4 linked regions of the Saccharomyces cerevisiae S288C genome follow. The gene in region 1 interacts genetically with each later gene. Each region holds a gene or a part of one and is shown on either strand. Other genes may lie near its edges. The genes, in order: BUD27, IWR1, SRO7 and EAF5.

Region 1 (8,838 bases):
AAGGTCACAACCGTGTGAAATGGAAATTAAAAAAAACGTTAAAAATATGTAGTCTTGTGAAGGTGATAATATTACAGCCGGATGATACTTGCTATTTTTCTTTTGAAATTTATTGTAGTTATCTTTTTTTGTTTTTTGTTTTTTTTCATTATTATTGCGTTATCGGTGTTCATTTCGGTGATTTGAATCTTCAGTAATGTTGCCTCGACTTTCGTAGTAAACTTTGAATGTCAGGTTTGTTAAATGCCAATGCGTAGAAAGATGTTCGAGAGGTACAAAGTTGTGCTGCTCATGATGAATTTTTCTGGGTTATAGAAGAGTTCTGTTTCGCTTCTGAATTGATTAACGAATCATTTAATTTTTTTAGGGAGTTCGAAGAATTTGAATTATTGTTCTGTGATTTCTGCTTTTGTTGTTGTGCTTGCTGCTGTTGCTGCTGCTGCTGTTGTTGTTGCTGTTGTAAATGTTGTATATGCTTTTGTTTCAGTCTGGTGATATAGTCCCTACGATACTTTATGGTGGCTTCCCTTAATTGTTCGTAGGACTTCGTACCCAACATTGTTCCGAATCTAATCACCTGAGTATCATTTGAAATCTGGTTAAGTCTTGCCGGTTCATCTGAAAACTTGATCCCATATTCATTTTGTGGAGAATCATACTTCCACTTGTCGTAAAGTCTGACAAATTCGTCGTATTTGGAATCGTAAACATTAATCGAGTCAGTATCGTTACTACCTTCTCTTGAATATTGTTCTTTTTCGATTGAATCGAAATCTACAAAATCCATTAAAGAACATGCAGACTTGGTCGACGATGTTGTAAAATTTGGCATACGATCAACATACTTAATATTAGATCTACCAACTCTCTTCCTGAATTTTATTGGATACTCTCTCGAATGAATTTCCAAATTTTCTTGGAATGGGTCGTACAGTTCAGTTTTTTTGATTCTTTTGGTATCCAAGTTGTAATTATCTTTGTTTCTCGAACGGCCATTTGAATCATATATTCTGATGTCATCAGATATCCCCTTCAAGTATTCTGGTAAATGTGAAGAATAAAAAGATCTATCTATCTGAAACTTGGATGACGCGATAGATGCAAAGGGAACATTACTAGTCGAAAAATTTTTAGGCAACGACATGTCAAATACAGGATTAAAGGGATCGTCCGTTAAGTTGAAAAAGACATCTGCGTCTTCAATTTTCCGTTTCTCCATCTTTTCCTGAACGAACTTTCTTGCATTTTTTTCTTTGCTGTTCAATAGAGCATCCACGTCTTCCAATACAATGTCAGGAATTTTGGAAGATGGTAGTTTGACATAAACATGAGACGTAATTGGCTGTGATGTTGAAGAAGAGGATGCATTCGCGAGTTGCTTTCCGTTTTCAGTCTTAAGGGCATTTTGCTGTTGTTGTTGTTGTTGCTGTAACAGTTGCTGCTGTTGCTGCTTGGTGAGCCTAGAAGATTTGTCTTCAAGTTGGTTATTCCTTTTATTGTTCTTTGCCTTCGCTGCCGCTGCTGCAGCAGCTGCTCTCTTAAGTTCAGCTTTCCTTAGTTCAGCTTCCCTTTGTTCGACCGTAACAATCGTGGGGCGTTTTCTCTTGTGGTTAATCAAGTCATCGTCTTCTCCACTAATGTTCAAAGATCTTTTCAAATTCTTAATTTTTACCCTTTGATCGAATATTTTTAATTCATCATTAATCCAATTTAGGGAAACGTTCTCACGTTTAGCAACAAGCAGGGCCAAGTCCTTCGCGTTTTTCAATTCTTGATGCAACGCCCTTAAACGCTGACTGTTTAAGATATCTATACGTCTTGTTTTCCGCGGATGTCTCACTTCTCTTCTTCTGAAACAGACGTAGGGATCAATCTCTTCTTTTTCACCCGGCCTTTCAAATTTCAGCTGCGGAAAAATTTCGTACCCGTTAACTTCAATTTTTCTTTCTCTCCAATAATCATAAATTTTAGAGCCGAACTTCTCTATCAGCTGAATTAAAGGTCTCGTATTCATTTGAGATACGGGGTCGAATTGTGTGATAAAATGTGTTTTATGAGAATTTATTTCATGATTCAGCTGGTTTCTTAGATTGAAATCAGCCATATCTGATTTTATTAATGTGGGCTTCAATTCTTCAAAAGAAAGTATACTTTCCGGATCCATACTCAAGAATGGTTGACGCTCGTGAATAGCATGTTCAAAACTGGAACAAAGTATTTCAAATTCGTCTTCAGTTAAAATGTCTGATGAACCTTTGTTGACTTGTTCATTTAAAAAGGTCTCATCTCTTTCATCCATATTGTAGTTGGTACCACAGCAATCCTCCACAGTGGCAGAAAATTTGATGTAGCTGGTGGTCTCCTGGAAACTGCCCGTATAAAACTTATCATATTCATTCCAAGTCATAGAAGCATCCGGGGTCGGAATATAGTCTTTGTGCTTTGTATGACCAGAACCCATTTGTAATATTCGATGCAAATGGACCTCCTTTTCTTCATTTTTTTCTACACCAGTTTCGATCTCAACCACCTCTCTCTGTTGCAATTCATCTTTATCCAGGTGTTTCAGATCGTTAGGCAGATATATCTTAAGATGTTGCTTCACAGATATTTTTCGATGTCTAAATCGACTATTACTGCTACCAGCACTGGCTCCAGCACCTGAATCGCCTTTTGAGAATGAATCTAGACCGTCATCGTGCGCACTCCTAGATCCAGACCGCCTAGTGCTTCTACCAGATTTATGCGAACCGTCATTGATCTCTATAGCGTTTGAAGGTGTCGGCATCGTTATTATCGTTATTTGCTAATGTTATTACAATGTTTTTATAAGCACGTGACTATAATGTTACCCTATCGTGTGCAATTTTTATTTATGTTGACCTGAAGTCCGCAGTTGCCGTACAATGTGAGAATATGGACAAAAGGAAGGCGAGGGTGGCAAAAAGAGGAGTCAAAAATAGATAGCGTTTATTTTATTATAGCAGCTCAGAGGAACGCGATGTGGTGTAATAATATTGCGAGTGTCTAATGACCACCAGAATACGAGCACAGTTTTGGCTGATTTTTGCAAACTTTTTTGCTTTTGTGTAGTAACCTCTCACAGGTATTGCTTGTATGCTATACCATGTGATATGTAATAGTACAATTTTGTGGTCGGATCGTGCTTTTGCCACCCGCGGCCGACGGAGAAAATTTTTTTCCTCTATCCCTTTGTTTCTCGCTTACTCCTGCGGTATGGGGTGCTAACTATGGTGAGCGAGTATGGGAAGAAGTAGCGATATACGGGTAACCCTAATGTTTGGGTGTTTTGAAATTTATCCTTGGAGGATAGGCGATGAGCTGCTCTTAAAGGTTTTAACAGAGAGTGTTGTATGAATATTCTGTAGAATTTTATAGTAAACAGGTATCCTCAGACTGTAATAGCCATGGATTTGTTAGCGGCCAGCGTAGAAAGTACGTTGAAAAATCTGCAAGATAAGAGAAACTTTCTTTCGGAACAAAGAGAGCACTATATAGATATCAGAAGCCGACTGGTTAGATTTATCAATGACAATGATGATGGCGAAGAAGAAGGCGAAGGCCAAGGGATGGTGTTTGGTGATATCATAATTTCTACGAGTAAGATATATCTAAGTCTAGGCTATGAGTATTACGTTGAAAAGACCAAAGAGGAGGCCATCACGTTTGTTGATGATAAATTAAAACTAATGGAGGACGCCATTGAGCAATTTAACCTGAAGATCGAAGAGGCTAAAAAGACCTTAGACAACTTGAATCACATGGAGGACGGAAATGGAATTGAAGAAGACGAAGCGAACAACGACGAAGATTTTCTGCCCTCTATGGAGATTAGAGAAGAACTAGATGACGAGGGAAATGTCATAAGTAGTTCCGTTACCCCTACAACAAAGCAACCATCACAATCGAATTCCAAAAAAGAACAGACACCTGCAGTCGGTCCAAAGGAGAAAGGATTAGCAAAGGAGAAGAAATCAAAGTCATTCGAAGAAAACTTGAAAGGAAAGTTATTGAAAAGGAACGATGAAGTAAAGAAAAAAGTGCAGCCATCTAAAGTAGATACAGAAAACGTGTATACATTTGCCGACTTGGTCCAACAGATGGACCAACAAGATGAATTGGAGGACGGCTATATTGAAACTGATGAAATAAATTATGATTATGATGCGTTCGAAAACTCCAATTTCAAAGTCAATGATAACTATGAAGAGGATGACGAGGACGAAGATGAAGAAGAGTATCTAAATCATTCTATTATACCTGGCTTTGAAGCGCAGTCCTCATTTTTACAACAAATTCAACGCCTACGCGCACAAAAGCAATCCCAAGATCATGAGAGGGAAGAAGGTGACGTTAATAAATCATTAAAACCTATTTTGAAAAAGTCTTCTTTTGCTGAGAATTCAGACAAAAAGCAGAAAAAGAAACAAGTCGGGTTTGCATCTTCTCTAGAAATTCACGAAGTCGAAAACTTGAAAGAAGAGAACAAGAGGCAGATGCAATCCTTTGCGGTGCCCATGTATGAAACCCAGGAAAGCACAGGTATCGCTAATAAAATGACATCGGATGAGTTTGATGGTGATTTATTTGCTAAGATGTTGGGTGTCCAAGAGGCCGATGAAGTGCATGAAAAATATAAAGAGGAACTGATAAATCAAGAGAGACTTGAAGGGGAAGCAAGCAGGTCGAATAGAAGAACTAGGGTGTCCAGATTCCGGAAGGATAGAGCTTCTAAAAAAGAAAATACGTTATCAACTTTCAAACAGGAAACGACAAGGTCAGTGGAGAACGAGGTAGTGGAAAAAGAGCCTGTTGTGGGGGATATTATAGAAAAAGAACCTGTTGTGGGGGATGTTATAGAAAAAGAACCTGTTGTGGGGGATGTTATAGAAAAAGAGCCTGCTGTCACCGATATAGTGGAAAGGGAGCCTGCTGTCAACGATATAGTGGAAAGGAAGCCTGTTGTGGGGGATATTATAGAAAAAGAACCTACTATCAACGATATAGTGGAAAAAGAACCGGAAATTAACAGCAAGAGCGAGTTTGAGACTCCTTTTAAAAAGAAAAAGCTAAAATCACTGCAAAAACCAAGATCATCGAAATCAATGAAAAAAAAATTTGATCCCAAAATTCTCGAAAATATAAGTGATGACGATTATGATGATGATGACGATGGTAATAAGAAACTTTTGTCCAACAAAAGTAAAAATAACACTGATGAGCAAGATAAATTTCCTTCAAAAATCCAAGAGGTGTCTAGGTCGATGGCTAAGACGGGCGCCACAGTAGGGAGTGAGCCGGTTAGAATTACAAATGTCGATTATCACGCCCTAGGTGGAAACTTGGATGATATGGTCAAGGCATATTCATTGGGGTTATATGACGACGATTTAGAGGAAGATCCAGGAACCATAGTGGAAAAGCTCGAGGATTTCAAAGAATACAATAAGCAGGTGGAGTTGCTGCGTGACGAAATTCGAGACTTTCAACTAGAAAACAAGCCAGTGACGATGGAGGAGGAGGAAAATGATGGCAATGTTATGAATGATATCATTGAGCATGAATTTCCTGAAAGTTACACAAATGACGAGGACGAAGTAGCACTACATCCGGGCCGGCTACAGGAAGAGGTTGCTATAGAGTACAGACGGTTGAAAGAAGCTACCGCGTCGAAATGGCAATCATCATCACCCGCCGCACACACTGAAGGCGAATTGGAGCCTATTGATAAGTTCGGGAACCCGGTCAAGACAAGTCGTTTCCGCTCTCAACGGCTCCATATGGACAGTAAACCATAACCCATATGGAGACAGAAAGTAAATCAGAATCTATATTAACATATACGTATATATTTGTTTTGTGTACAATAACTACTACAAAATTGGGGACAGACGATATAAAACTAGAGGAACTGCTGAGCTTATTCGTACAAGTCTTCGTCCAATCTAGCAGCAGGATTGGTTTCGATAAAGTCCAAAGAGACTTTATGACCTAACAGTTCTCTGATGTTTTGAACCTTATATTTGATCATGGTAGGTCTTTCCAAGGATAACCCCCAACCAAGGACTCTTAGATCCTTTGGTAGACCCATGGACTCGAGCATTTCTGGTCTGAACATACCAGAGTTACCGATTTCGACCCATTTTTGCAAACCTTCGTGCCAAGAAAAGATTTCCATTGATGGCTCGGTGTAAGGATTGTAGGTAGGCTTGAATCTCAAACCGGTGACACCCATTCTTTCGAAAAACTCTTCCATGAACTTGATCAGGTCACCCAGAGTAATGTTGTAGTCGGCAAGAACACCTTCCACCTGGTGGAATTCGGCCAAATGGGTGGCGTCAACTGCTTCGTTACGGAAAACACGGTCGATAGAAAACAATCTGGTGGGCTTTGGATCTTTGGCCAAATCGTGCAGCATTCTGGCAGAGATGGCTGTGGAGTGAGTTCTCAAGACCAATTTTTGACATTCTTCTGGCTTCCAGTTGTAACGATAACCGATGGACCCGAATCTCCCCTGTTCGTGAACGGCTTTGATATTGTCCATGTATGTCTTGTCATCGGGCAAGTCAGCGGTTAGTGGGTCCTTGATGTAGAAAGTGTCTTGCAGGTCACGAGCAGGATGCTGTTGTGGGACGTAAAGGGCATCGAAGTTCCAGAAACCTGTCTCGACGTATTGGTTCGAGGGCATCTCTGTGAATCCCATGGAAAAGAAAATTTGTCTAAATTCCTCTCTGACTTTGTTTAAGGGGTGAAGAGCACCTGAAGATATTTGCACACCTTGAGAATTGAAATTGTAAGGCTTGAACTTCAAGTCCTTGTATGCATTGGTGGAGACCATGTCGGAGGTAAGATCGGTTTCCAATTTGGTGAGGTCGGTCGAGAACTCTGGCCCTTTGGTAACGTTGAAATCTGTGATTTTACCTTGAGCAATTAACTTTCTTTTCTTCAAGTCGTTCAAAATCTTGGCGTCAATGCTATCCAGATGCGAGTTGTTCTTGATTTGCGCTAGAATAGATTGCGTTTCATCAGTAAGCTCATTTAAATCGGTATTTTGCAATTTTGCGGAGAGTTCAAGCTCGTTTGAGGCGTTTTTGGCGATCCAGCCGTTCTTGAAAGCTCTAGCCTGACCGACCTTACCAACTTGAGGACCCAGTTTGGACATCACATCTTTGATTTGAAGTTGACCCAACTCTTGGATGAGCTTGACTAGTTTAATTTCGTACGAACCTTCATTCAAAATTTGAGCACCTTCTTTGGTCAAGTCATACGTAACCGTGTCGACCTTGGAAAACTCTAACTTGTTGTGGGCTTTCAAAGAGTTCAAAGCGGAAAGAACATCTTGAGAGCCGTGCTGAGGGAAAGTTGCCAGTGTGGACTTGATCTCATCCAATTCATCTAGTTTTTTTAGAATTTCTAATTGGAAGTCAGACATCTTTACGTTAGGGGGTGAGAGAGGGAGGGGGGTGCCTTTAATGTATATATACGTAAGATATATATATATATGTATATATATGGAAATGTATTCACAACTTTACATGTGCATTAACCACAAGTACTGCGTACGTTCAAGATTACAGCAATGCGTTTTATTAATTTTTCAAGCATTTTTCACGTAGAGAGGAACAAAGTTTACTGAAAAGAAAAGAGGTAGAGAAAAACAGAAAAATTTTTTTTTTCTGTTTTTCCTGCCTCTTTTCTTTGTTTGATTCAATATGGTCGACCGGGTAAACCCCTGATAAAACGATACCAAAGCCGGGTCACCTAACTTATGGCCAAATGCGACCGGTCCCGCTTTCCGATTTTAGCCGGCGAAGACGTACTTGGCGCCATAATCAAAACCTAGCTTGCCCAATACTTCTGAGTTCTACGTGGTGCAAAAATATTTTTTTTTTTTTGAAAAACCTACCCTATTTCATTATAGATGCATCCATCAGTATTACGGTGTCCTCACACAACCCTGTCTCTGCACAACGTAATACCTCCTTTTCCCGTCTGCTAGCTCTCATTTCGCGGTAATCCAACTTCAACCAGCAACCCGGATCTTCTATACGCAGTCCGGTGTGTGGGTGCATGACTGATTGGTCCGGCCGATAACAGGTGTGCTTGCACCCAGTGCCCAACGTCAACAAAGCAGGAACAACGGGCTGATAAGGGAGAAGATAAGATAAGATAAGATAACAAATCATTGCGTCCGACCACAGGCCGACACATAGCAGAACGATGTGAAGCAGCGCAGCATAGTGTTAGTGCCGGTGCAGCTACCGCTGGTATTAACAGCCACCACAATACAGAGCAACAATAATAACAGCACTATGAGTCGCACACTTGCGGTGCCCGGCCCAGCCACATATATATAGGTGTGTGCCACTCCCGGCCCCGGTATTAGCATGCACGTTTTCTTTCCTTTGCTTTTCCGCCCTTCCCCTGTTCTGTTCATCGCATGTGCATATATATATATAGATATATATATACATTGTACACGGTGCACGGTAGTGAACATAACTATGAGCACGAACAGAGTCCCGAACCTCGACCCGGACTTGAATTTAAACAAAGAAATCTGGGACCTGTACTCGAGCGCCCAGAAAATATTGCCCGATTCTAACCGTATTTTGAACCTTTCTTGGCGTTTGCATAACCGCACGTCTTTCCATCGAATTAACCGCATAATGCAACATTCTAACTCTATTATGGACTTCTCCGCCTCGCCCTTTGCCAGCGGCGTGAACGCCGCTGGCCCAGGCAACAACGACCTCGATGACACCGATACTGATAACCAGCAATTCTTCCTTTCAGACATGAACCTCAACGGATCTT
Region 2 (7,332 bases), on another chromosome or scaffold:
TCATTGAAGAGATGTTTATAGTTTTCGCTAATGATGTCATTTAACCGGTAGCTCATCCACACCTGAAATTTATGCCATACACTGGGTAAACAACATAGTAATTGTGCAGAAGTTCTTAGCGCCTTGTTCATTTCAGCCCTCGAAGAGCGAAACATTTCCCTGGCTTCACCGTCTATACTAGCATACGCAATGACCTGCTCAGTAATTTTTTCAAAGATTGGTGTTTCAATGTTGCTGTCCGTCGTTATATCCAGTGGCGAAGTTTCAATCAACTCCAGCACCTCTTCTAAGCTGTCATTCTGAATCAAGTCTGATATAAGCTTTAGTTGCTCTTCGCGTGGTAAATATTTGCAGATGAGAGCACCTCCAACCATTTTGCTGGTAAAAAAAAGGTATAGAGTTTGTAACGTTCGTTAAACAATTCTTTTCACCGGATTTTAATAAGGCTTGGCTTATTTGCTTACTAGCAATTATATAGTTACAATAGTGCTGTTTCAATCTTGCTCATCGCCATGGTGAAACTTTTCGAAAAACACTTGAATTTTCATTCACGTGATCTACATTCCCTTACCCGACAACTCACCCATTGTGCCCCCTTTAAGATATGGCTATTGAGTAAGCCAATATTTATCGATTTACAGCAAGTCATCTCCAAAATGAAGAGATGACTAGCTCGAATACTGGTGGTGCAATTGAACATACCATCTAGAAAAGTTGTCTTCTACAGCACACAATGTCAGACTTAAATGATGTCCAAGAAAATGCTAAATTGAATTCGGAAACTCGGAATACAGGAAAGGCTGAACCACCTCATGGGACAACTGAGTATGTGGCAGAGGCAGAAATTTCTAAGAATGGAGTTGGATCGCCAAAAAAGAGCCCAAAAAAGGGTAAGGTTGGAAAGGGGGACAATAACAAAGTAGAAACTGAGTTAGTACACACAGCCCTGTTAGAAAAAGACAACCCATTCATGGAGGAGGGGCCAACAGGATTCACAAAATCAGCTTTATTAGAAATACCCGGTATGAGAAGCCATAACCTAAAGAACCCGAATGAAGATTACGAGGATGACTCTGAGGGATTATTGCCTTTAAACCAAGAATCGAATGCAGAAACATGTAGAACAAGTCTTAGTGGAAGTATTAACTCCATGAACGGAGAGACCTCTGCGTCAGAAGAACCTTCTGTAAGTAATAGAAAGAAGTCCGCTAGGATACACATACTTGAAGCGAAAAGAGTTTCCGAAGGTCAAGGAAGAGCCTACATCGCCTATGTTATTCAGTTTGAAAATTCTACCGTTCAGAGACGTTACAGCGATTTCGAGAGTTTGAGAAGTATCTTGATAAGATTGTTTCCTATGACGTTGATACCGCCGATTCCAGAAAAGCAGTCAATAAAGAATTATGGTAAGTCAATAACTGGTTCGAGTTCAAAGTATTTGCTGCCCTCAGAAGGTTCTGGTTCAGTAGATCTATCATTGTCTGTGATACATGCGTCGGTCAATAATAGTGATGAAAAGTTAATACGGCATAGGATAAGAATGCTCACTGAGTTCTTGAACAAACTTTTGACGAACGAAGAAATCACAAAAACATCTATAATTACCGATTTTTTGGATCCTAATAACCATAATTGGCATGAATTTGTTAACAGTTCGTCCACTTTTTCATCTTTACCGAAGAGCATCCTCCAGTGTAATCCACTAGATCCCACTAACACCACTAGAATTCATGCCATGTTACCAATACCGGGCTCCTCGTCACAGTTATTGTTGAATAAGGAGTCCAACGACAAAAAAATGGATAAGGAAAGAAGTAAGTCGTTTACTAATATTGAACAGGATTACAAGCAATATGAGAACTTGTTAGATAACGGGATTTATAAGTATAATAGACGAACCACGAAGACTTATCACGATTTGAAATCGGATTACAATGAAATCGGTGAGGTATTTGCACAGTTTGCCCATGAACAGGCTCAAGTTGGGGAATTGGCCGAACAGCTTTCTTACTTAAGCAATGCCTTTTCGGGGTCCTCGATTTCTTTAGAAAAATTAGTTGGAAGACTATACTACAATATAAATGAGCCTTTAAATGAATCTGTTCATATGGCAACTTCTGCAAGAGAATTGATCAAATACAGAAAATTGAAATACCTGCAAAATGAAATGATTAAAAAGTCTCTGAATTCCAAAAGAGCACAGTTGGAGAAGCTGGAAGCGCAAAACAATGAATATAAGGATGTTGACAAAATAATTGACAACGAAATGTCTAAAAGTCATACTATTAATCTGGAACGCCCTAATAATAATACAGGTAGCGGTGGGAAATCATATGGTGGCAAACTATTCAATGGATTTAACAAATTGGCATCAATGGTAAAAGATTCTGTGAAGTATCAAGAAACAGATCCGCATACCGCAAGTATCAATTTGAAGAAAGAAATTGAACAACTGTCTGAATCATTGGAAGTTACTGAGAATGATTTGGAGGTCATTTCAAAAGTCATCAAAAATGACCAGCTACCTAAATTTTCTAAAGAAAGGGAAGTAGATTTATCAGAAATTTTAAAGCATTATTCCAGATATATGAGAAATTATGCCCGTCAAAATTTAGAAATTTGGAAAGAAGTCAAAAGACATCAAGATTTTGCATAGTATTATGAGCATTTTTTTTTAGCGTTATAGCATACTTGATATATATATATATAAACAACGTGAAGATCAAATAACGTCAAATGTATTAAATAGACTAAAATATTATGCACTTCTCTTCGGATTTATTGCTCGCGGGCTGGTTGACGTTACATGGTCCATTCCACTGAAATGTTTTAAGAGATGCCTATATGGCCAACTCAAAGTTTTGAAAAAGGGAACTAGGTTCACATAATATGGGGCATTTAGTGTTTGCAGATGATTATGCTCCATCGCAGAGATTATCGCTAGTGCCAGTTGGGAAGGTATGATGTCAGGAGCCAATAACTTAGATGGTGTAGGGACATCAATAAACATATTAGTTTTGATTTTTCCCGGGCACACCAGTAGTGTTTTTATTCCAGTTTTATTACATTCCGTGGACAAACTTCTGAAATGCCTGCTCATACACTTGTGAAAACCAATCATTGCTCCTTTTGATGCACCATACGATGTCAGCCTTGCAGGAGTCAGTTCTCCGAGGACTGAAGCAATGTTAATTATAAAGCCTTCCCTATTGTCTATCATATCTTCTGCAAATGTACTGATGATTCGGTAAGCACCTATTAAGTTTATGTCGATCAATTGTTCTACCTCCTTGTTTGTCATATGTTCTAACTTTTTGATGTGAGCAACACCAGCATTATTTATAATTATATTAATGTTGCCATGATCTCTTTCAATAGCTTTTTTCAAATTTTTAATTTCATCTAGACTTGTTATGTCGCATTGATAGTAGAAAATGTTATTATATTCTACCTGAGCAAAAGTAGGAAATGATTGAATATCTGCCACAATAACTTTATTAATTCTTCTGGAAAGTTCCTTTGCAAGTTCAAATCCGAGTCCACTAGAACCACCGGTTATTAGTGCAGTTGCATTTTTAGAAAGGATGGAAGGGTTGTAGCTGGGCAGACTTAGGATGACTGATGGAAAATCCTTGAGGTGTTTTGTAGTTCCACTCGCTCTATTTATTTTATTCTTGCGTACCATAATTAATAATATTTCTTACCCATAAAACTATGTTAAATATGTCACTGAATCTCTATTGAGGTGTCCTTTTGATGATGCGGTTTCAGATATGAGAAATGTTCATTCAAGAAGTGTCACAAATTCTGTTCCTCTGCTGACGCCCGCTACATATTGACGTTCAAAAATATAGAAGAAAAAGGCAGTAAAGCGTTAACATAAGAAAACTAAAGAGCAAGTCTGATTTGGCACTACCACGCTTCCAACAGAAGTAATTGTTGCTTCAAATAAGTTCGCAGCATGTGGATTCAAGTCCACAGATGCGATATTTAGGAGCCCAATCAGATAATATTGATTCCGGGTTATCTCTTGTTTGTGTCGGCACAGGGGATTTAAATTGTGTAATGCTCAAGACAAGTTATTGATGAGAACAAGAGATGGTATATAAAACTGCTCTCTGAGGTATAGCTTTTGTTGAGGTAGGCATACAAGATTTCGGGAATGAGCACTATTAGTACCACAACGGCACCTGAGTTTATCAGAGTAAAGAGAAGAAGGGATGAGGATTCTGTGCAGGCATTATGTATGTGTTGTTATTCTACCGATATAACAAAAATGCGTTTGACTAACTAAGTTCATCTGGGACAATTCAGTAATTGATGAGGGGAAAAGAGTGAAGAAGCAGAAGTTCATATTTAAATTATCAAAGACTGTGAGCTCTGAAAGCTATCAATCCGAGCAAGAGTCTTCTACGCCACTCTTAAAACTGGCTCATGAAGATCATCGACATTTTGTATTGGAACAAAGAAAAAAAAGTCGTAGAGACTCAGATGATGAAAAATCACAACAGCGGCTTGCAGCAGAAGGAAGTACTGTAGATGACGATGGGTTACCGCCAGAGATCAATCAAATGGTGAATGACTATTTAAAGTTGAATAAAGGTGTAGAAAAGACAGAAAGAAAAAAACCAAGTAGGAAATATTTTACTGGGGATTCTGCAAAAATTGCATCACTACCCAGTTTAGATTACGTTTTTGACATCTACCATTTGGAGAAAATTCATGACGATGAGGTTGCTAGATATAACAACGAGAAAAATATAGGGTTTGTGAAAATTATTGAGCATATAGATTTGGCTCTTGATGAAGAAAGTGATCCCAATGAAGCCCGTTCAGACGATGAGGATTCTAATGACGAAAACTATTACCAAAATGATTATCCGGAGGATGAAGATGATGATAGATCTATTCTATTTGGTAGCGAAGGAGAGGATATAGCTGCATTGGGTGAAGAGATTGTTATAGGGGTTAATAAGAGCAGGTTTTCCTCTTGGAATGACGATAAAATTCAGGGATCTAATGGGTACCACGATGTGGAGGAAGAGTACGGGGATCTTTTTAACAGGCTTGGAGGAAAAAGTGATGTCTTGAAATCCATAAATTCCTCGAATTTCATTGACTTGGATGGCCAAGAAGGTGAAATAGAGATAAGTGATAACGAAGATGATTCTGATGAAGGAGATGATATTGAATACCCTAGAAATGAATTTTTTCCGACGGATGTTGATGACCCATTGGCGCATCATAGGGACAGAATTTTTCATCAGCTACAGAAAAAAATTAATAGAAGCTAAATTTGCCGTCAGAAACTGTTCAATGTATGTAAGTAACTGCATCTGTAATTTTATCTTTAGATAGTAGAAAATTCATGTTTAACCGCTTTTTCACTTCATGAACTTTTTTTTCTCCGGTGTGGAAACACAAAGATTCAAAGCAAAACTATAAAAAATCACGTCAATTACTTCTGAAATAGATAGAAGAAATGCATAAAATTATTGCTGTTTACTTAAAATATAAACTTATTCTGCAATACATTAATTGATCAGTTCGAAAGGGTTGCTGTGCGAGCAACGAGATCCAGATACTCTTTTAACTTTCCACTAGATTGGAATAATAAATAAATCTTGTCGTTCTCATTAGCGACCAATGAGGTAAATGCCAGGGCTTCCGAAATAAATTTTGGGATCTTTAACAACTTTGCGGCTTCCACTAACTTTTTATGCAATTCCATCAGTAGAAATGGAGTATATAGGGCTCTAATCTCATACAGGATTTCATAATCTGCCGAATCCGCGAAATTAGAGGAAGTTAAATCTACTAAAAATGTCTTGATCAATTCAAATGTATCCTTTGAAAAACCTTGCAATTTCTCTATTAAAGTAGGAATGTTCGATTCAGAGCTTAACAAGCTAACGGATTTTTGCCATTCTTCATATTCTCTTATGCCCTTTATCAAATGCTCATATTGAGTTATTTCTTCCAAAAACTGATCTTCATTTTCATCCTTTGATATGTTATCGGCTATTTTCTCTAATTCATAATTCTTGCATATTTCTCCAATATTATTTCTCTCCATAAATTGTTCGAGAGCCTTTACGCGGCCATTTAACAAAAATCTCCTCGATAAGGCAATGATAGAGTGGACAGCGTCCACATAAAGCTTCCCTTCAATAAGCCATTCCACGCCATATATTAAGTGCATATCAATGTTGTTTACATCGAAAGATATGGAAATTTCGTTAGATGGTGAATATTCTTGTTCGGTTTCATCGAAAACACGCTGTGTGGTTCTTCTCAAAATATTTGAGGCAGGTAATCTTAGAAAGTTTATTGTCTCAATTTGCTTTTTCCTTACTTGGGGGTCCTCTAAAGAAGACAATATGAAAGAGCATGCCTCTAAGCAGTCTGACTCATTCAGGAAAGTAGCATATATTGGAATATTTTCATAAAGGCCTTGCAATTTCAGAAGACTGATATACGTAGTAATGAGCTTGGACTTATCAACCTCTTCAACAGAACCTGGATTAATTATATCAAGGCAAATGGCTAAATGTGTAACTATCCTCAGAAGATAAGGCTTATCTATAATATCGTTACTAGCTTCGGTTCCCTTGACGACATCAAGCAACATTTCCACGGATGAATGAATAACTGATGGCAAAGAATCTAGTATGACAGATGCCATTAAAACTCTGATTGGATGTTCACTTTCTGAGGGATGCCTTGAAGCCACTCTATTAAGCACCTCTTGTACAGTTAGCGCGTGTGAAGGTAATGGTAAAATCAGTTCATCAGTACCTACTTGATTGTTTTCCAAAAGATAATTTTCAATTTCAGTTTGTAAAATTTGATTTAAGTGTATGTGCAGATCAGACTCCCAATCCGAATATTGCAGAACTTCTTGGTTGGGAATAGCGCCACTCAAATAGCTGTATATCGCCCTTTCATAAGGGTCCAAACCGGCCTGCTGCGAAAGGCTGTAAACTGTTCTTCTCCACAAAGAGTGCTTCTTGATACCTTGCTGGGTATTGAATTCGTTTGCAATTTGCGTATCAATGACAGGGTTTAAGTACTCTTGTATCCCACACAGGATCATACAAATTGAAATATTGTCGGAAAGTTTAGCTTCTTCTAATGCTTCATCAATCGCACCGGCCAAAATTAGTTCGTAAATGTATTTGAAGAAAATATGATCTTCTTCTTTATCTTTAACATCGAGGACATTAGTGTTTTCTCGTAAAGGAAAATCCAAGTCACAGCTTTTCAATCCTCCAGAAGTAATACTATTTAACCATTTTGAAGTTGGTACATTTTTGGGTCTTTCCATCACAT
Region 3 (9,677 bases), on another chromosome or scaffold:
GAACATACACAGTTGGTTGCATCACGGCCACGTTCTTCTTCTATCTCTTCTCCTCAAAAACTGCGTTCATATTCCTGTTCTGATTCTTATGAATATTCTCAAATTGATGACACCATAGAAGGAGAAACCTACAATAACGACAAAAATTCTACTGGAAAAATCGCATTTCCCTCCTCATGGTTAAAAAGTGCGAAGGGGCGCTTAAAAAGGAATAATTCTAACGGAAGGTCAGATAATAATGGCGCATCTTCTAGTGGTTTAGCGATGCAACATGATTCTGAAGACACTATAAATTTACAGTACCCGCTTAATTTGGTGAGAACTCCGCCAGAAATCTCTGTCACTACAGCAAATAAGCCACTTTACATTAACAAGGTTTGGGAGAATTGTCTTTCTTATGAAATTTCATTCGCCCAAAAGTATGTGCCCTTGAATGGTGAAATTCCAATCACAATTAAAGTGGCACCTCTAGTAAAAAGTCTTAGTGTCAAGAGAATTCGTGTTAGTTGTAGAGAAAAAATCTCCTACAGGAGTAAAGACTATCAATATGATTTTGACCAGTTGGATCCATTGGCTTCAGATCCTTGCAATCCCTATCATATGAGATATTTAGTGAGAAAAAAGAAGGACAGAAGCTTGCCTCTATTTGAGGTGGCCTCTAAATGTACTAGTGGGCCTTCTATTAGAGAGGAAGTTGTCACCAATACAGTTGATGATAACTTATTAGCCTACACTTCATCAAAAGAAAACAACAAAGATATCCCATTTTCTGAGTCCTTTACTGTTAAAACGAAGTTAAAATTTCCAAAATATTGTGAAGTGGACGCTACCAAAGCTGCAAGTCTACCACCATATGGTATCGATCTTTTCGACCCAATAAAAGATCCAACTCAGAGTGAGAACACCTCTAATAACGGCAATGTATTGGGCTTTCTAGTGGGTCGCCCTAACAGGGCTTCCAAGACAGTTCATAAAATACCGCAAGACAAGAATCATAATGAGGTCAATGATACAAATGGAAACTCGAATACATCTTTGCAAACTAGCTCGAATGTTCCCATTCAGCACTACACACGGTTGAATAAACCAAGACGCGGTTTATATTTGGACAGTATGCATTTTAAGAATATCCAATGTTCTCATAAATTAGAAATCGTCTTGAGGGTTAGCAAAACTGATAGTGGTAGCTCAAAAATCATAAGGCATTATGAAGTAATTGTTGATACACCAATTTATTTGATTTCTGACCTTTGTAACACTTCAAATATAGACTTACCGACTTATGACATGGCCACCACTGAATCTTCTAAAGTCCTGCCACCAACTTTTGAAGAGGCAACATCAGTTTCAGCATCACCAAGATCTTCTGTATCTTATTATCCCGATGACATTTCCATGCAACAGTTGAATTTGTCTAGGTCGACTTCCCTCGCAAATGGTTACCTGTCAACCTTACATCCAAAAACAACCGCTGTTTCGGACTCGTCTAACGGTGCCCCAATCCGGGACCAGCAAGAGCAACAAGCACGCCCCTTGAGGACTGAAGATTATGCGCTACAAATGGGGAATGAAAATAACGCCTATAGCAATATGGACGGTTTGCTTTCGCAGGATATCTTTGAACAGGAGACCGCGGCCACGCTATTTAAAAGAGACATTGTCACAATGAACTTTAACAATAATATATTCACACCACGGTATAGTCCGCGCACTTTTACCAATACCGACTACAATTATAATGATAATGATAATAATGATAATGATACAGAGGGGCCTGGTCCAATAATTCATCCGGGTCCTGAACCACCAAGATATGACGAGATTTCATCATAAATATTAATATCTTCACTTTTTTTATAAACCTCACACACACATATATATATACATTTGTACAAATATGTACCTGTCCGAACTAACTTTTTTTTTCGTGTAATATACGTAGAATATATGTCTTTCGGCTCATCGCAAATTGTAGCACCGAAAAAAATGGAAGACGATAATAATAAACAAGTTTGAAAGTTTGAAAGCCGTGCAGTTTTTCAACGTATTAGGTTTTTTTATTCAAATAACTTTGACAAGGGCGTTGTACGACTTAGCACCTAATGAATAGGGGATCATTAGATGATGGGCCTAAACTACGTGAAGAAAAGCACTTCCAAGATTTTTATCCTGATCTTAATGCCGATACTTTACTGCCGTTCATCGTTCCCTTAGTGGAAACAAAGGATAACAGCACCGATACTGACTCAGATGATATTTCAAATCGGAATAACAGAGAGATCGGGAGTGTCAAAAGCGTACAAACTAAAGAATTGATTTTCAAGGGGAGAGTCACCACTGAACCACTAGTACTGAAGAAGAACGAAGTGGAATTTCAAAAATGTAAAATAACTACGAATGAGTTAAAAGGTAAGAAAAATCCATACTGCGTTAGATTTAATGAGAGCTTTATATCCAGGTACTATCATATAAACAAAGTAAGAAATAGGAAGAGTTATAAACAACAACAAAAAGAATTCGATGGTGTGGAGGCACCCTACTTCACCAAATTCTCTAGTAAAGAAGCCCCGAATATTACTATTTCGACGAGTACAAAGAGTGCAATTCAGAAATTCGCTAGTATTTCACCCAATCTTGTTAATTTCAAGCCTCAGTATGACATGGATGAACAGGATGAATTATATTTGCACTACCTTAATAAGAGGTATTTTAAAGATCAAATGTCTCACGAAATATTTGAAATTTTAATGACTACACTAGAAACTGAATGGTTCCATATTGAAAAACATATACCCTCAACGAATAGTCTGATTGCTAGGCATAATATTCTAAGGGACTGTAAGAATTATGAGCTATATGGTTCTGATGATGGAACAGGTTTATCGATGGACCAGGCGTGTGCAGTTTGTTTAGGCACAGACAGTGACAATCTGAATACAATTGTCTTTTGTGATGGATGCGATATTGCTGTGCATCAAGAATGTTACGGTATAATTTTTATCCCGGAAGGAAAATGGTTATGTAGACGATGTATGATCTCAAAAAATAACTTTGCCACTTGTCTAATGTGTCCAAGTCATACAGGTGCATTCAAACAAACAGACACCGGTTCTTGGGTACATAACATTTGTGCTCTATGGCTTCCAGAGCTATACTTTTCAAACTTACATTATATGGAACCTATAGAAGGCGTTCAAAATGTTAGCGTATCACGATGGAAACTTAACTGCTACATCTGTAAAAAGAAGATGGGTGCTTGCATTCAGTGCTTTCAAAGAAACTGTTTTACAGCATATCATGTCACGTGTGCCCGTCGAGCTGGTCTCTACATGAGTAAAGGGAAATGCACTATTCAAGAATTGGCCTCTAATCAATTCTCCCAAAAGTATTCAGTCGAAAGTTTCTGCCACAAGCATGCACCTAGAGGATGGCAAACGAGTATAGAAGGTATTAATAAAGCTAGAAAATACTTCTCTCTACTCTCTACATTACAAACCGAAACTCCTCAGCATAATGAAGCTAATGATAGGACAAATTCAAAATTCAACAAAACAATTTGGAAAACACCTAATCAAACGCCGGTAGCACCACATGTTTTTGCTGAAATATTGCAAAAGGTCGTTGATTTTTTTGGCTTAGCTAACCCACCAGCAGGCGCATTTGATATTTGCAAATATTGGTCAATGAAAAGGGAGCTTACAGGAGGTACCCCATTAACTGCCTGTTTTGAAAATAATTCATTGGGGTCCTTAACCGAGGAACAAGTGCAAACAAGAATAGATTTTGCCAATGATCAGCTCGAAGACTTGTACCGGCTCAAAGAGCTGACTACTTTGGTGAAAAAGAGAACACAAGCTTCAAACAGCTTGTCCAGATCCCGAAAGAAGGTTTTTGATATAGTTAAATCGCCCCAAAAATATCTTTTAAAAATCAATGTACTGGATATCTTTATAAAATCTGAACAATTCAAGGCTCTTGAAAGATTGGTTACTGAACCTAAATTATTGGTTATTTTAGAAAAGTGTAAACATTGTGATTTTGATACTGTCCAAATTTTTAAGGAGGAAATTATGCATTTTTTTGAGGTTTTGGAAACTCTACCCGGTGCATCAAGAATACTCCAAACTGTCTCATCAAAGGCAAAAGAGCAAGTAACAAATTTAATTGGGCTCATAGAACATGTAGATATTAAGAAGTTGCTATCCAGAGATTTTATAATAAATGATGACAAGATAGAAGAAAGACCATGGAGTGGCCCGGTGATTATGGAAGAAGAAGGTTTAAGCGATGCAGAAGAACTGAGTGCAGGGGAACACCGTATGCTGAAGCTAATCCTTAACAGCGGATAAAATAAAGGTTTTAATATTGCATTATGTATAATGAGTATGTATTTTTATGCTATTCTTGTAAAAGTTTGGCTTATTATTTACTTTCATGGAACACTTAGTAAAAATAACTTAGAAAGGTCGTCTTTTCTTTATTCTTTAGCATTTCAATACCGAACTAAATATCCGTTTTTATAGTTTAGTTGGTTTTGTTTAATTTCTAGAATCCTGTTCGGCGCTTTTGTTAAAAGTAAAAAATGAAAATTCAAACGAAATGAACCTAATCACGTTAGAATTTAAATCTTGGAATATGTTAAATATAAAACAAGAAGAGCAAGCAATACTATTTCTGACTAATTCTCTATACACATAAGAGCAAAACAAAATGTTCGGTAGCAAACGTCTGAAAAATGTTAAGGAAGCATTTAAGTCCCTAAAAGGCCAAAATTCAGAGACACCCATTGAGAACTCAAAGGCGTCTTTTAAATCCAAAAATTCAAAGACATCTACTATTTCCAAAGATGCGAAATCTTCCTCTTCTTTGAAGATTCCTATAAGTTCAAATAACAAAAATAAAATTTTTTCACTAGCAGAAACCAACAAATATGGGATGAGCAGTAAACCGATCGCAGCCGCTTTCGATTTCACCCAAAATTTATTGGCAATTGCTACAGTCACAGGGGAAGTCCATATTTATGGCCAGCAACAAGTGGAAGTGGTTATAAAACTGGAGGATAGATCTGCTATAAAAGAAATGAGATTTGTGAAAGGTATCTATTTGGTGGTCATTAACGCAAAAGATACTGTGTATGTTTTATCGTTATATTCTCAAAAAGTACTTACAACAGTGTTTGTTCCGGGGAAAATAACATCAATTGACACAGATGCATCCTTAGACTGGATGCTAATCGGCCTTCAAAATGGTTCAATGATAGTTTACGACATAGATAGGGATCAACTTTCCTCCTTCAAATTAGACAACCTACAAAAAAGCTCATTTTTTCCGGCTGCAAGACTATCACCTATAGTATCCATTCAGTGGAACCCTAGAGATATTGGAACTGTTTTAATATCATATGAGTATGTAACTCTAACATACTCATTGGTTGAGAACGAAATCAAACAATCCTTCATATACGAATTACCACCTTTTGCTCCAGGAGGCGACTTCTCAGAAAAAACCAATGAAAAGAGAACTCCCAAAGTTATTCAGTCCTTATATCACCCTAATTCACTGCACATTATCACTATTCATGAAGACAATTCCTTGGTTTTCTGGGATGCTAATTCAGGCCATATGATCATGGCAAGGACAGTGTTTGAGACAGAAATCAATGTTCCACAACCTGATTACATACGCGATTCTAGTACTAATGCTGCCAAAATTTCGAAAGTGTATTGGATGTGTGAAAACAATCCAGAATATACTTCACTACTCATCTCTCATAAGTCAATCAGCAGAGGAGATAATCAAAGTCTCACTATGATCGACCTCGGTTACACACCTAGATATTCAATAACCTCTTATGAAGGTATGAAGAACTACTATGCAAATCCGAAACAAATGAAGATATTTCCCTTACCAACCAATGTGCCAATAGTGAATATACTACCAATTCCAAGACAGTCCCCGTATTTTGCAGGATGTCATAATCCGGGGTTAATTTTGTTAATCCTAGGTAACGGTGAGATAGAAACAATGCTATATCCTTCTGGAATATTTACAGATAAAGCCTCTTTATTCCCTCAAAATCTTTCCTGGCTGAGACCATTAGCCACGACTTCAATGGCCGCTTCTGTACCAAACAAATTATGGCTTGGTGCGCTTTCTGCAGCTCAAAACAAGGATTATTTGTTGAAGGGAGGGGTTAGAACAAAAAGGCAAAAACTTCCCGCTGAGTACGGTACAGCATTCATTACCGGCCATTCTAATGGCTCAGTTAGGATATACGATGCTTCCCATGGGGATATACAAGATAATGCTAGCTTTGAAGTGAATCTATCAAGAACGTTGAACAAGGCCAAAGAACTAGCAGTTGATAAGATATCTTTTGCCGCAGAGACTCTCGAGTTGGCGGTGTCAATTGAAACAGGAGACGTTGTTTTATTCAAATATGAAGTAAACCAGTTTTACAGTGTTGAGAACAGACCAGAAAGCGGTGACCTGGAGATGAATTTCAGGCGGTTTTCTTTGAATAATACGAATGGTGTTCTCGTCGATGTGAGAGACAGGGCACCTACCGGTGTTAGGCAGGGATTTATGCCATCAACTGCCGTGCATGCCAACAAAGGGAAAACATCTGCAATCAACAACAGTAATATTGGATTTGTTGGAATCGCATATGCTGCCGGAAGCCTTATGTTGATCGATAGAAGAGGTCCTGCAATCATTTACATGGAAAACATTAGAGAAATCTCGGGAGCTCAAAGCGCATGTGTTACCTGCATCGAATTCGTAATTATGGAGTATGGAGACGATGGTTACTCTAGTATATTGATGGTCTGTGGTACTGATATGGGCGAGGTAATCACATACAAAATTCTTCCTGCATCAGGTGGAAAGTTCGATGTGCAACTAATGGATATTACTAATGTTACCAGTAAGGGTCCGATACACAAAATTGATGCATTTTCAAAGGAAACAAAATCTAGCTGCTTGGCAACTATTCCAAAAATGCAGAATTTAAGTAAAGGCCTTTGCATTCCTGGTATTGTATTAATAACTGGATTCGATGATATCAGATTAATAACACTGGGCAAATCTAAAAGTACACATAAAGGTTTCAAATACCCGCTTGCCGCGACAGGTTTATCTTACATCTCAACCGTTGAGAAAAATAATGATAGGAAGAACCTAACCGTAATAATTACATTAGAAATCAATGGCCATCTAAGAGTTTTTACTATTCCAGATTTCAAAGAACAAATGTCTGAACATATTCCATTTCCAATTGCCGCAAAATACATTACAGAATCATCTGTTTTAAGAAATGGTGATATAGCGATTCGAGTGAGTGAATTTCAGGCGTCACTATTTTCTACTGTCAAGGAACAGGATACGCTAGCGCCAGTTTCTGACACACTGTACATCAATGGAATCAGGATTCCCTATAGGCCACAAGTAAATTCATTACAGTGGGCAAGAGGCACTGTATATTGTACTCCCGCTCAATTAAATGAATTATTGGGTGGCGTGAATAGACCTGCATCCAAATACAAAGAGAGCATCATTGCTGAGGGAAGTTTCTCGGAGCGTTCTTCAGACGATAATAATGCGAACCATCCGGAACACCAGTATACCAAGCCCACCCGTAAGGGCAGGAACAGTAGTTACGGGGTACTAAGAAATGTTTCTCGAGCTGTAGAAACTAGATGGGACGCCGTTGAAGATAGATTCAACGACTATGCTACCGCCATGGGAGAAACAATGAACGAGGCTGTTGAGCAGACTGGAAAAGATGTAATGAAAGGTGCCCTTGGTTTTTAAATACATACACTAATTCATACAGGGTAATGAGCAACTTCCTTCTATACTTATTTTTTTTTAGTTCTATATGCTTTATAAATTAATTTGAATCGATTTATTTTTCATTATACATGTCTAGTTTTACGAAGGTTTGTAAATACATGAGCTATCAAGTTTATAATCCTTTAATTAAACGAGTGACCTCATTTAGACCATCTTCATGAATTTGTGATAACTTTTCTTGAACAATAGGAACAATGTCAGCCGCACTAACCAATTCACCATCATCATCGGCAAATTCTTGGCCCAATCTTTTGACACGTAATTTACCTTCTAAGTACTCCTCCTTACCGAGGATTACGGCAATGTGACAACCCGCTTTTTCAGCAGCATCGAATTGCTTCCTAGGATTAGCCTTGGCCTTATAGACATATTCAGCTTCAATGCCAGCATCCCATAATTGCTTAGTAACCTTCATTCTTTCGGGTAAATAACCAGTCCAGTCCTTACCACCACCAAAAGCCATAACGAACACCTGTGTAGCCGTTGGCTTTATAGTTGTAGAGGAATTAATTCTTTGTTTGATCAAAGAAAATATTCTTTCAACACCAAATGAAATACCAACACATGGAATTTGAGTAGATTTTTTGCCGGAAGCTTCAGAGAACATGTTGACCAAATTATCATATCGACCACCGGCTGCAATAGAGCCGACACCAACGAATTCTGACGCGTCTTCTGCAGATTTGGCCTTCTTCTTCAATTCTGAAGCATTCTCTGGTGGAGCAGATGCAGAAGTAACAACTTCATAGATCAAACCTGTATAGTAATCCAAACCTCTTGCAAGAGAAAGATCAAAAGAGATGAATGAGTCAATGTCAAATGCTTCGGTATACTTCATCAAAGTAGCAATATCATCCAAACCTTGTTTAGCCTTTTCGTTTGAAGTAATGTTGGCATCTGCGGATAGAACAGCGTGAATTTCCTTCAAAGAACCATTTAATTTAACATACTCACCGATTTTATCAGCAGTTTCTTCGGATTGACCTTTTTCTTCGGTCATTTCCTTCTTGACTGCTTCCCATGGAGATTTGTCCAACTTATCGACAGCAGAAGAGATTTTCCTCACATCCTCATCTTTAACACCAGCGATTTGGAAGATCCCATCAAGAATCTTCCTGTGATTCAATTTGATTTTGAAATCTTTGATTCCCAAACTGGTCAAACCTTCCACTAAAATGGACAAACATTCGGAATCAGGAACCATAGATTCGAATGTGCCTGCAACGTCAAAATCACACTGGTAAAATTCTCTCATACGACCCTTAGTCATGGCTGGTTGGTCTCTTCTGTAGACTTTTGCAATGTGATACCTCTTGATACTCTGAATATTGTTCATGGCAACGTACCTGGCAAAAGGAACGGTCAAATCGTAACGTAAAGAACATAATTCACCACCCTGGTCCTCCAAGTTGTAGATCAGTTTGGAGTCCTCACCATACTTGCCTGCTAAAATTTCTCTTAACTCGAAAACAGGTGTGTCGATAGTGACACCACCATGCTTCTTGAATAGGCCAGATAAAGTGCTAAAAATGGCTTCTCTGATAACCATATCACTATCAGCCCAATCCTTCGTACCCTTAGGTGTTTTCAAAGACACTTGTAGTTTACCTTTCTTTGGAGCCTTTGAAGCTTTTAGAGCATTAGCAGCATTAGCAGTAGGAGCAGAAGTAGCAGCAGCGGTAGCGGATGACATCCTGATTATCGAAGACGACTTTATAGATGTGACTACTTTATTTAGTGATCTACTAAGCATTAAGCAAGAGACGAGCAGAAAGGAACTATTCTAAAGTAACACATTGGGCCGTAAGACTCATTTAAAAGCC
Region 4 (7,013 bases), on another chromosome or scaffold:
TAGTGGAACAAAAGCAAATGAAGGATTTCATGCGTTTGTACTCTAATCTGGTAGAAAGATGTTTCACAGACTGTGTCAATGACTTCACAACATCAAAGCTAACCAATAAGGAACAAACATGCATCATGAAGTGCTCAGAAAAGTTCTTGAAGCATAGCGAACGTGTAGGGCAGCGTTTCCAAGAACAAAACGCTGCCTTGGGACAAGGCTTGGGCCGATAAGGTGTACTGGCGTATATATATCTAATTATGTATCTCTGGTGTAGCCCATTTTTAGCATGTAAATATAAAGAGAAACCATATCTAATCTAACCAAATCCAAACAAAATTCAATAGTTACTATCGCTTTTTTCTTTCTGTATCGCAAATAAGTGAAAATTAAAAAAGAAAGATTAAATTGGAAGTTGGATATGGGCTGGAACAGCAGCAGTAATCGGTATCGGGTTCGCCACTAATGACGTCCTACGATTGCACTCAACAGACCTTGACGCTCACGCCGTAGCGGGCGACAAGTCAAACGGAACAACCGTTGCCGTTCCCATCGGAGTCCGACCTAGGCCGAACTCCGTGAATTTCTGATAACAACGGTCGGTAAAGACTGGTTCCCCAGTATATTTCTTCTCTCAGGAGCAGGGGCCAATGCCAAAAGCGACATTAACCCGGAGGACAAGGCTCCACTGTGTTCCACCGAATTTCCCACCTGATAATATCTGATAACCCGCCCATAGGTGGGGATCCTTCTGTAAACAGGTTTCTTAATCGTAGGAATTACCACTGTTCCACTGCCAATCGCAGCTCCCAGAGTTTCGTTCCCAGCCGCGAGCACCACAGCGTACCATGTGCGCCACGAGGCCTCAAACGTAAAACAATCGAAACGAAAAGAAACAGACTATAGGGGAGTATAGAGACAGCCGGCCAATAAGAAGAGGAAAAAGAAATACTAGCGTTTATCAATGTGGGTCGTTAACATATCCTGTTGACAATGATTACAGGTTAAAAGGTAGCGTAAGTGAATATTAACTATGGATATTCTTATACTTAGATAAGAGACATATAAAACACACGATGATTGATTGATTTTTATGACCAATATATGTAATTCGTAATTCAGATAGTTTTTATACTTTTAATGTGTGCCGAACCATATTACTAGTATATGTAACTACCATGTTATGTTCAATTGGCAGATCTTTAACTCGGCTTTAGTTATCCAAGTTACTTGCAATATTTCCTTCTGCGAGAGTACATTTGCCCTTAAACGTATACGAGGTATTCATTAATGTGTGTTGTAAGTATTTAGATTGACATCTATAAGAGAGATGAACATATATATATATATATATATATATATACATGCATATTTACTATAAACGCGGTTTATTCTGCCAGGCAAAGGCAATTTGCTTTTGTTCGCCAGGCTCAATGATAACGTTGATGACACTTGTTTCTCTTTTAGTCCGAGAAAGCTGCACGGCTTGTTGGAAGCATCTGCTCAGTTCGCTTATTGTGTTGACAAAAAAATCATTGGCACCCAGTCCTTTGCCTACGAGATCGTAACGGCAGTTCTTGCTTAGTGCCGTTGGAGGTAAATCACCCTCTATATCCTTTTCTCCATGGTAAATACCGCTATTGTTCATCACAACGATGACCAATGCCAGCTGACACCTTACTGCCGTTTCAATTTCCATGGCAGAGAATCCAAATGCGGAATCACCCTGAATCAGCACCACATCGAGTTCCGGATGAGATGCCTTGCATGCAAGAGCATATCCGAGCCCAATCCCCATAGTCGCGTTGGTCCCTGCGTCTAAACGGCGCCTTGGAGCGTCTGTAGGGAATGAAATACGCGCAATATCCATAGTATTTGCTCCCTCCGTCACAAGTATTGTCCTGTAATCATCGATAAGAGGCCTCAATGTTCCATAAACCTGGTTGTAATTCAATTGTGCCCCTCTAGTCTTCTCTTTCCTCAATAGACGAGTTTGATTCAGTTGAATTTTCTCTCGTATTTCTTGCTTAACACCACTATACTTCCAGCAGGAATCTTGGCGAGTCAATTCCTCAACTAAAGCGGTTACGCTCAAGCCTATATCTCCCCATATGGAAAGGTCAGCACCAGGTGAGACATTGTTATCCCCCAAGGTTTCGGGATTGGAATCGAACTGGATGAATATGGATTCTGAGTTCCATTTGGGTGAAGTACCAAAATGCAATATCCAGTTTAATCTTGCCCCGAGAACAAGAACAATATCCGCTATTTTCAATGCTTGAGATCTTGCAGATGAAACGTTCAGTGGAGAAGAGTCTGGGACAATTCCCTTAGCCATTGGGGTGGGTAAAAATGGTAGATTGAACGTATTTACTAGTCTGCGGATTTCGTGTGAGTTTTTTACCGCACCCTTTCCAATAACAATCAGAATATTTTTATTTTTATGTTGCAAAATAAGCTGTACGACTTTTTTGATCTTCGACGGATCAGGGCCACATATGTTTGGAGTTAATATCATCGGTAATTCATTTCCTGTACGGTCGTTTCCTTCTAAGGGTTTTTCATACTCAATAAAATCTGCAGGGACGTCTATGTAAGAAACCCCTGCAGTGCCTTGTATACAGTAATTCAAAGCCTTCTGAGTAATCATGTCAATATTGTCAGGGGTTAACTTTCCGGTAAACTTCAAAAATGGGGACAAAAGACTAACTTGATCCAACTCTTGAAACCCGCCTTTATGTATATCACTTTGAGAAGAACTCCCTGCAATTACTAGAAGAGGCCACCTATTACTCATTGAGTTGTATATACCAGCCAGTGCGTGGATTAAACCGGGGCCCCCGACAATAAGTAACACGCCGGGCTTATCACTAATATAACCATAAGCAGAGGCTGCATATGAGGCAGCCTGTTCGTTCCTGCATGGAATGAATTTGATACCGTTGGCAACCATCGTATCCGCTAGTTGGACAATAGGGATGCCCACAATTCCAAAGACTGTGTCGATGCCATATTTTTGTAAAAGTTGAGCGAAGTGTTGGGTAGCGGTCGTGGTCATATTGATGGATGGTTGTGACGGTTTGAATGTAGAGAGTATATTCTTCTTATCACATAAAAGTAACCAATGCCTTTTTTTTCCTTTATATATAATGTGGTTATATACCAACCTTTTGTAAATTTCCAACTTTTTTCTTTAGTTAGCTTTGCTTGAACTTCGGGCCGAAGGGCTCGGATAAGAGAAACAATAATTTTGTTTTCATAAAACATCGATGGCTTGACTACTTCTTTTATCCTGTTCCTGAGATTCTTTCATCTTGGCGATCTTACACCTTAGTTCCATAATAGGGTCTCTTACAAAATCCCTCATTGAAACGACTTGAGAACACGCTGCTTGCGGGCAATCTCTTGTCGTGTATCCTTGTAAATAGTTTTGAATGCCGTCTCTATCGAAGACGTGATTACATTTTCTTGATATCAATGGTGCTTCGTAAGGTTTGCAGGTGATAGGACAAGTCAATTCAATTTTACCACCTTCTATTTGTAGATCGTCTTCGTCTGCGGGGTTTTGCAGATCCGGTATTACACAAGTTGGATCATTCCATATGTACGGCAACACTTTTAGTATCTTGAGTGTATCTGTGTTATTAACCATGGTTGCAGGCTCTGGTGTGGGCATATTTAGATATAATTCAGATAATTTGGGAGCGGTGAGTTCTCCGGTACGATATTTATCCCAGGTAGAAAGGTCGATTTGCGGACAGGCATCTGAGGATTGTTTGAAATTTTTTTTTAAATCTTTAATATGTTCGTCAAATGAGTTGGATTCCGATTCGTATGTCGAGAGGAGTTTGTAGGTGCTAGTAATATCTGCGACCTGCTCTTCAATGCCGATGGTGGAAGGAGATGTAGAATCCACTAATTGATTTATGGTCTCATCAATTTGTTTGTAGCATTGTTGATATATATTTGATAAGTCTCGGGCATGTAAATTATGGAAGTACTTACCTGATTTTGGGTGTAGAGGAACTGACTTGGGTATAGGATTATCGTTCAAGGCCATTTTTAAAGTTATTCTTTTTTTATATAGTCTTGCCTTGGTTTCTTTAACTGACACGATTATTTTAGCAAGTTTTTTTCTACACAGGAAAAGAGGAAGAAAATAACCAGAGAAGCACTGGTAAAAAGATACTTCTGCGTGCCGGAGTAACCAGAATCAAAGGAACGCATAGATGGATAAAGAGGTAAGTGAATTGGTAGTGTTGCAGCTAATACACACTTTAATTTCCAACAAGAATGAAGAACTGGTTAGGAACGGGGGAGGAATCAACATGATTGGGAATAATCTTCGAATATCGCTAGTCAAGTTGACTAACGAAATACAAAACAATTTGCTAATCAACGAGCTGACAAATTTAAGAAGGCAAAGCAACGTGGCAAATGGAAACAGGAAACTGGGCATCAACGATATCCTGACCATAGTTAAGAATTTATTCCCAGAGTACAGAACAACACTAAACGATGGACAACTTAGTCTACACGGTTTGGAAATGCATGATATCGAGAAGCTCCTTGACGAAAAGTACGATCGATTCAAGAAAACGCAGGTCGAACAAATAAGGATGATGGAGGATGAGATATTGAAGAACGGTATAAAGACCGGTGCATCGCAACTGCAACCACATGCAAATGCTGGCAAAAGTGGATCTGCTGGTACCAGTGCTACTATAACTACGACTACGCCACACATGGCGCATTCAATGGACCCAAAAAGAGAAAAACTATTGAAATTATACAGAGATACCGTTCTGAATAAATTGGAAAGTAAAACTGGGAATTTTCAGAAGCTATTCAAGAGTCCCGATGGTAGCATTATCAAGAATGAGATAAATTACGAAGACATAAAGAACGAAACGCCCGGCAGCGTTCATGAACTGCAGCTGATTCTTCAAAAGAGCATAACGGACGGTGTAATGCGAAAGGTCATTGGTACGGACGACTGGAAATTGGCTAGACAAGTGCAGTTTGAATTGGATGATACGGTGCAGTTCATGAGAAGAGCACTAGAGTAAGGAGATAGTAGGCGACACTTCGAAAATCTAAAGTCTTGTAACATTACTATTATATACTATTTTATTAAAAAAATACACACACAATTCTTTAACAGAACAATATATAACAAATGAAGCGACATGTTTCTCAAAAAAAAACATAGTAGGTAGGTAAAAATGGGAAAGAACGGGACAAACAAAACGAAGAGCAGGGTGTATTTGCCCACACACGGCAAACAACATCCATTCACGCCCGCATGCCCAAAACTTTTTTGCGATAAAACGCCCACGCAAATCACATCGTTCCAACAGAGGAATCGAACAGCACAGATACAAAGTAGGAATATAGCACACACACAGGAAAAATTAATTAATTATTAGAAATTAAAAGGGTTGGGGAGAAAAGAGGTCTAATTTATTCATTAATATTCAGTAATTGAAAAAAAAAAAAAAAAGAGGATAACTAAGAGAAAACAACATCAAGCTCGTTTGGCTTGCTAGTGATCGCTTAGAATCTTTGTAAACCTCTTTGTCTAGCTTGCCATTTTCTGTAGATAATGGTAGAAATGATGGCGATACAAGCCAAACCGACTAGAATAAAAACTAAGATAACACCACCTGGTAACGTGCTCATCAACATCTTTGTATAATTGTTATTGTACTATTTATTGTTTTGTATGTATACGATGGAGAAAAAGAGAAAGGAAGAAGGAAGGACGAAAGAGAAAAAACTGGAAGGGAAGAAGAATTGATTTTATATTAACCAAGAGGAAGGAAAGGAAATTGAGTTGTGATTACGGAATTTTAGTTTTTTTCACTGTTTATTTAAACCAAAAGGTGTGGAAGAGAAAGAGAGAAAAAAGTTCTGTAATTCGTTAAGGAAATTAAGTATCCGCGCCGGAAAAATAGCGAGAGGTTTTTTTTGATGCAAAAGCTAGGGAGGGCTGCGGACGGATTTCGAAAACAGCTCAACAGCGTGGTGACGAGTTGCGTCAGGGTGTTGGCCAGTGCTACCGCGGGCGGCGCTGCACAGGGAGTAAGCAGAGCGGGCTAGAGCGCGGTTTTGGAGAGGGCCCGGGCTGCTGTGGTCGTAGGATTGCGGTAATTTAGTGGCTCGCCCTCGTTTGTCGTGCTTTTTCCGAGTTCCGAAACTCTTTCCCGAGCTGTTAATGTGCTAAAAGTGGTAAATCGTATATGATGATATACGTATATGATGATAATTTCCTGCGCGCTACTTGCGTGCATTCGTCACTCATAACAAAAAGAACTACACAATACGTAAACAACGTGCGAAAATATCTATATACAAGGGGAGAAAACAAAAGTGAAAGTGCATTACAGCCCATCACAGATCATTATAATACAATATGCCGACCAAGTCAACTTTTAGTCGCTGGAAGAAGGCGGACCTAATTGACCTGGCCAACAAGCTGGAAATTGACGGCTTCCCCAATTATGCCAAGAAGAGTGATATGATCGATTACCTCGAATCGCACTTGAATCATCTTGAGAAACCTGTGGATTTTAAAGACGACTACCCGGAACTAAGGTCCTTTTATGAGTCGATGACAGTGGACCAGTCAAAGGATGAACGGAACGAATACGGATCCGGATCTGGAAACGGGTCTGGGTCTGGATCCTGTGACACCGCCACAAATGATTCCGATCTGGAGAAAGCGTACATCAAGGAGGATGATGATGAGAAACCGCAATCAGGCGATGAAACAAGCGCGACAAAGCCGCTTTCCAGCAGGAATGCAAATTCAAACGCCAAAACGAACTTCAATTTGTTGGATTTTAGCACAGATAACGACTCGTCCACCTCTGCGTTTACTAAGTTCAAGTTTAACTTTCAGGAATACCTCTCCGATATTAGATACCAAACGCAGAAATTGAATGAAAATGTTCAGGACTATCTTTCCACTATTTCCGCCGTCGATACGATTTTTTCCTTGTTGGAATTCTCTTTTCTGGTGA

Evidence for each region.
Region 2: mutations in BUD27 (region 1) and IWR1 together harm fitness more than expected from each alone (negative genetic interaction), as found in Saccharomyces cerevisiae (2 studies listed by BioGRID).
Region 3: mutations in BUD27 (region 1) and SRO7 together harm fitness more than expected from each alone (negative genetic interaction), as found in Saccharomyces cerevisiae (3 studies listed by BioGRID).
Region 4: mutations in BUD27 (region 1) and EAF5 together harm fitness more than expected from each alone (negative genetic interaction), as found in Saccharomyces cerevisiae (3 studies listed by BioGRID, with this or other methods).

Annotation. Positions count from the first base shown.
Region 1 is NC_001138.5:87,558-96,395, forward strand, and holds BUD27 (prefoldin-like protein), read left to right. Parts: upstream 1-3,428; coding exon 3,429-5,819; downstream 5,820-8,838. Other genes in the region: EPL1 (Epl1p), read right to left, coding at 290-2,788; FRS2 (phenylalanine--tRNA ligase subunit alpha), read right to left, coding at 5,942-7,453; GAT1 (Gat1p), read left to right, coding at 8,409-8,838. UniProt on the Saccharomyces cerevisiae protein: Involved in gene expression controlled by TOR kinase and nutrient signaling. May also be involved in positioning the proximal bud pole signal.
Region 2 is NC_001136.10:251,957-259,288, reverse strand, and holds IWR1 (Iwr1p), read left to right. Parts: upstream 1-4,162; coding exon 4,163-4,244; intron 4,245-4,314; coding exon 4,315-5,294; downstream 5,295-7,332. Other genes in the region: TRM3 (tRNA (guanosine(18)-2'-O)-methyltransferase), read right to left, coding at 1-374; ATG20 (Atg20p), read left to right, coding at 734-2,656; YDL114W (short-chain dehydrogenase/reductase), read right to left, coding at 2,759-3,685; NUP84 (Nup84p), read right to left, coding at 5,543-7,332. UniProt on the Saccharomyces cerevisiae protein: Directs RNA polymerase II nuclear import. Binds RNA polymerase II in the active center cleft between the two largest subunits in the cytoplasm.
Region 3 is NC_001148.4:629,413-639,089, forward strand, and holds SRO7 (Rab GTPase-binding protein SRO7), read left to right. Parts: upstream 1-4,710; coding exon 4,711-7,812; downstream 7,813-9,677. Other genes in the region: CSR2 (Csr2p), read left to right, coding at 1-1,833; NTO1 (Nto1p), read left to right, coding at 2,103-4,349; HTS1 (histidine--tRNA ligase), read right to left, coding at 7,967-9,607. UniProt on the Saccharomyces cerevisiae protein: Acts as an allosteric regulator of polarized exocytosis by promoting the targeted fusion of vesicles with the plasma membrane.
Region 4 is NC_001137.3:117,254-124,266, forward strand, and holds EAF5 (Eaf5p), read left to right. Parts: upstream 1-4,217; coding exon 4,218-5,057; downstream 5,058-7,013. Other genes in the region: protein transporter TIM9, read left to right, coding at 1-221; PXP1 (putative indolepyruvate decarboxylase family protein), read right to left, coding at 1,364-3,046; SUMO ligase MMS21, read right to left, coding at 3,245-4,048; PMP2 (proteolipid ATPase), read right to left, coding at 5,545-5,676; GTT3 (Gtt3p), read left to right, coding at 6,404-7,013. UniProt on the Saccharomyces cerevisiae protein: Component of the NuA4 histone acetyltransferase complex which is involved in transcriptional activation of selected genes principally by acetylation of nucleosomal histone H4 and H2A. The NuA4 complex is also involved in DNA repair.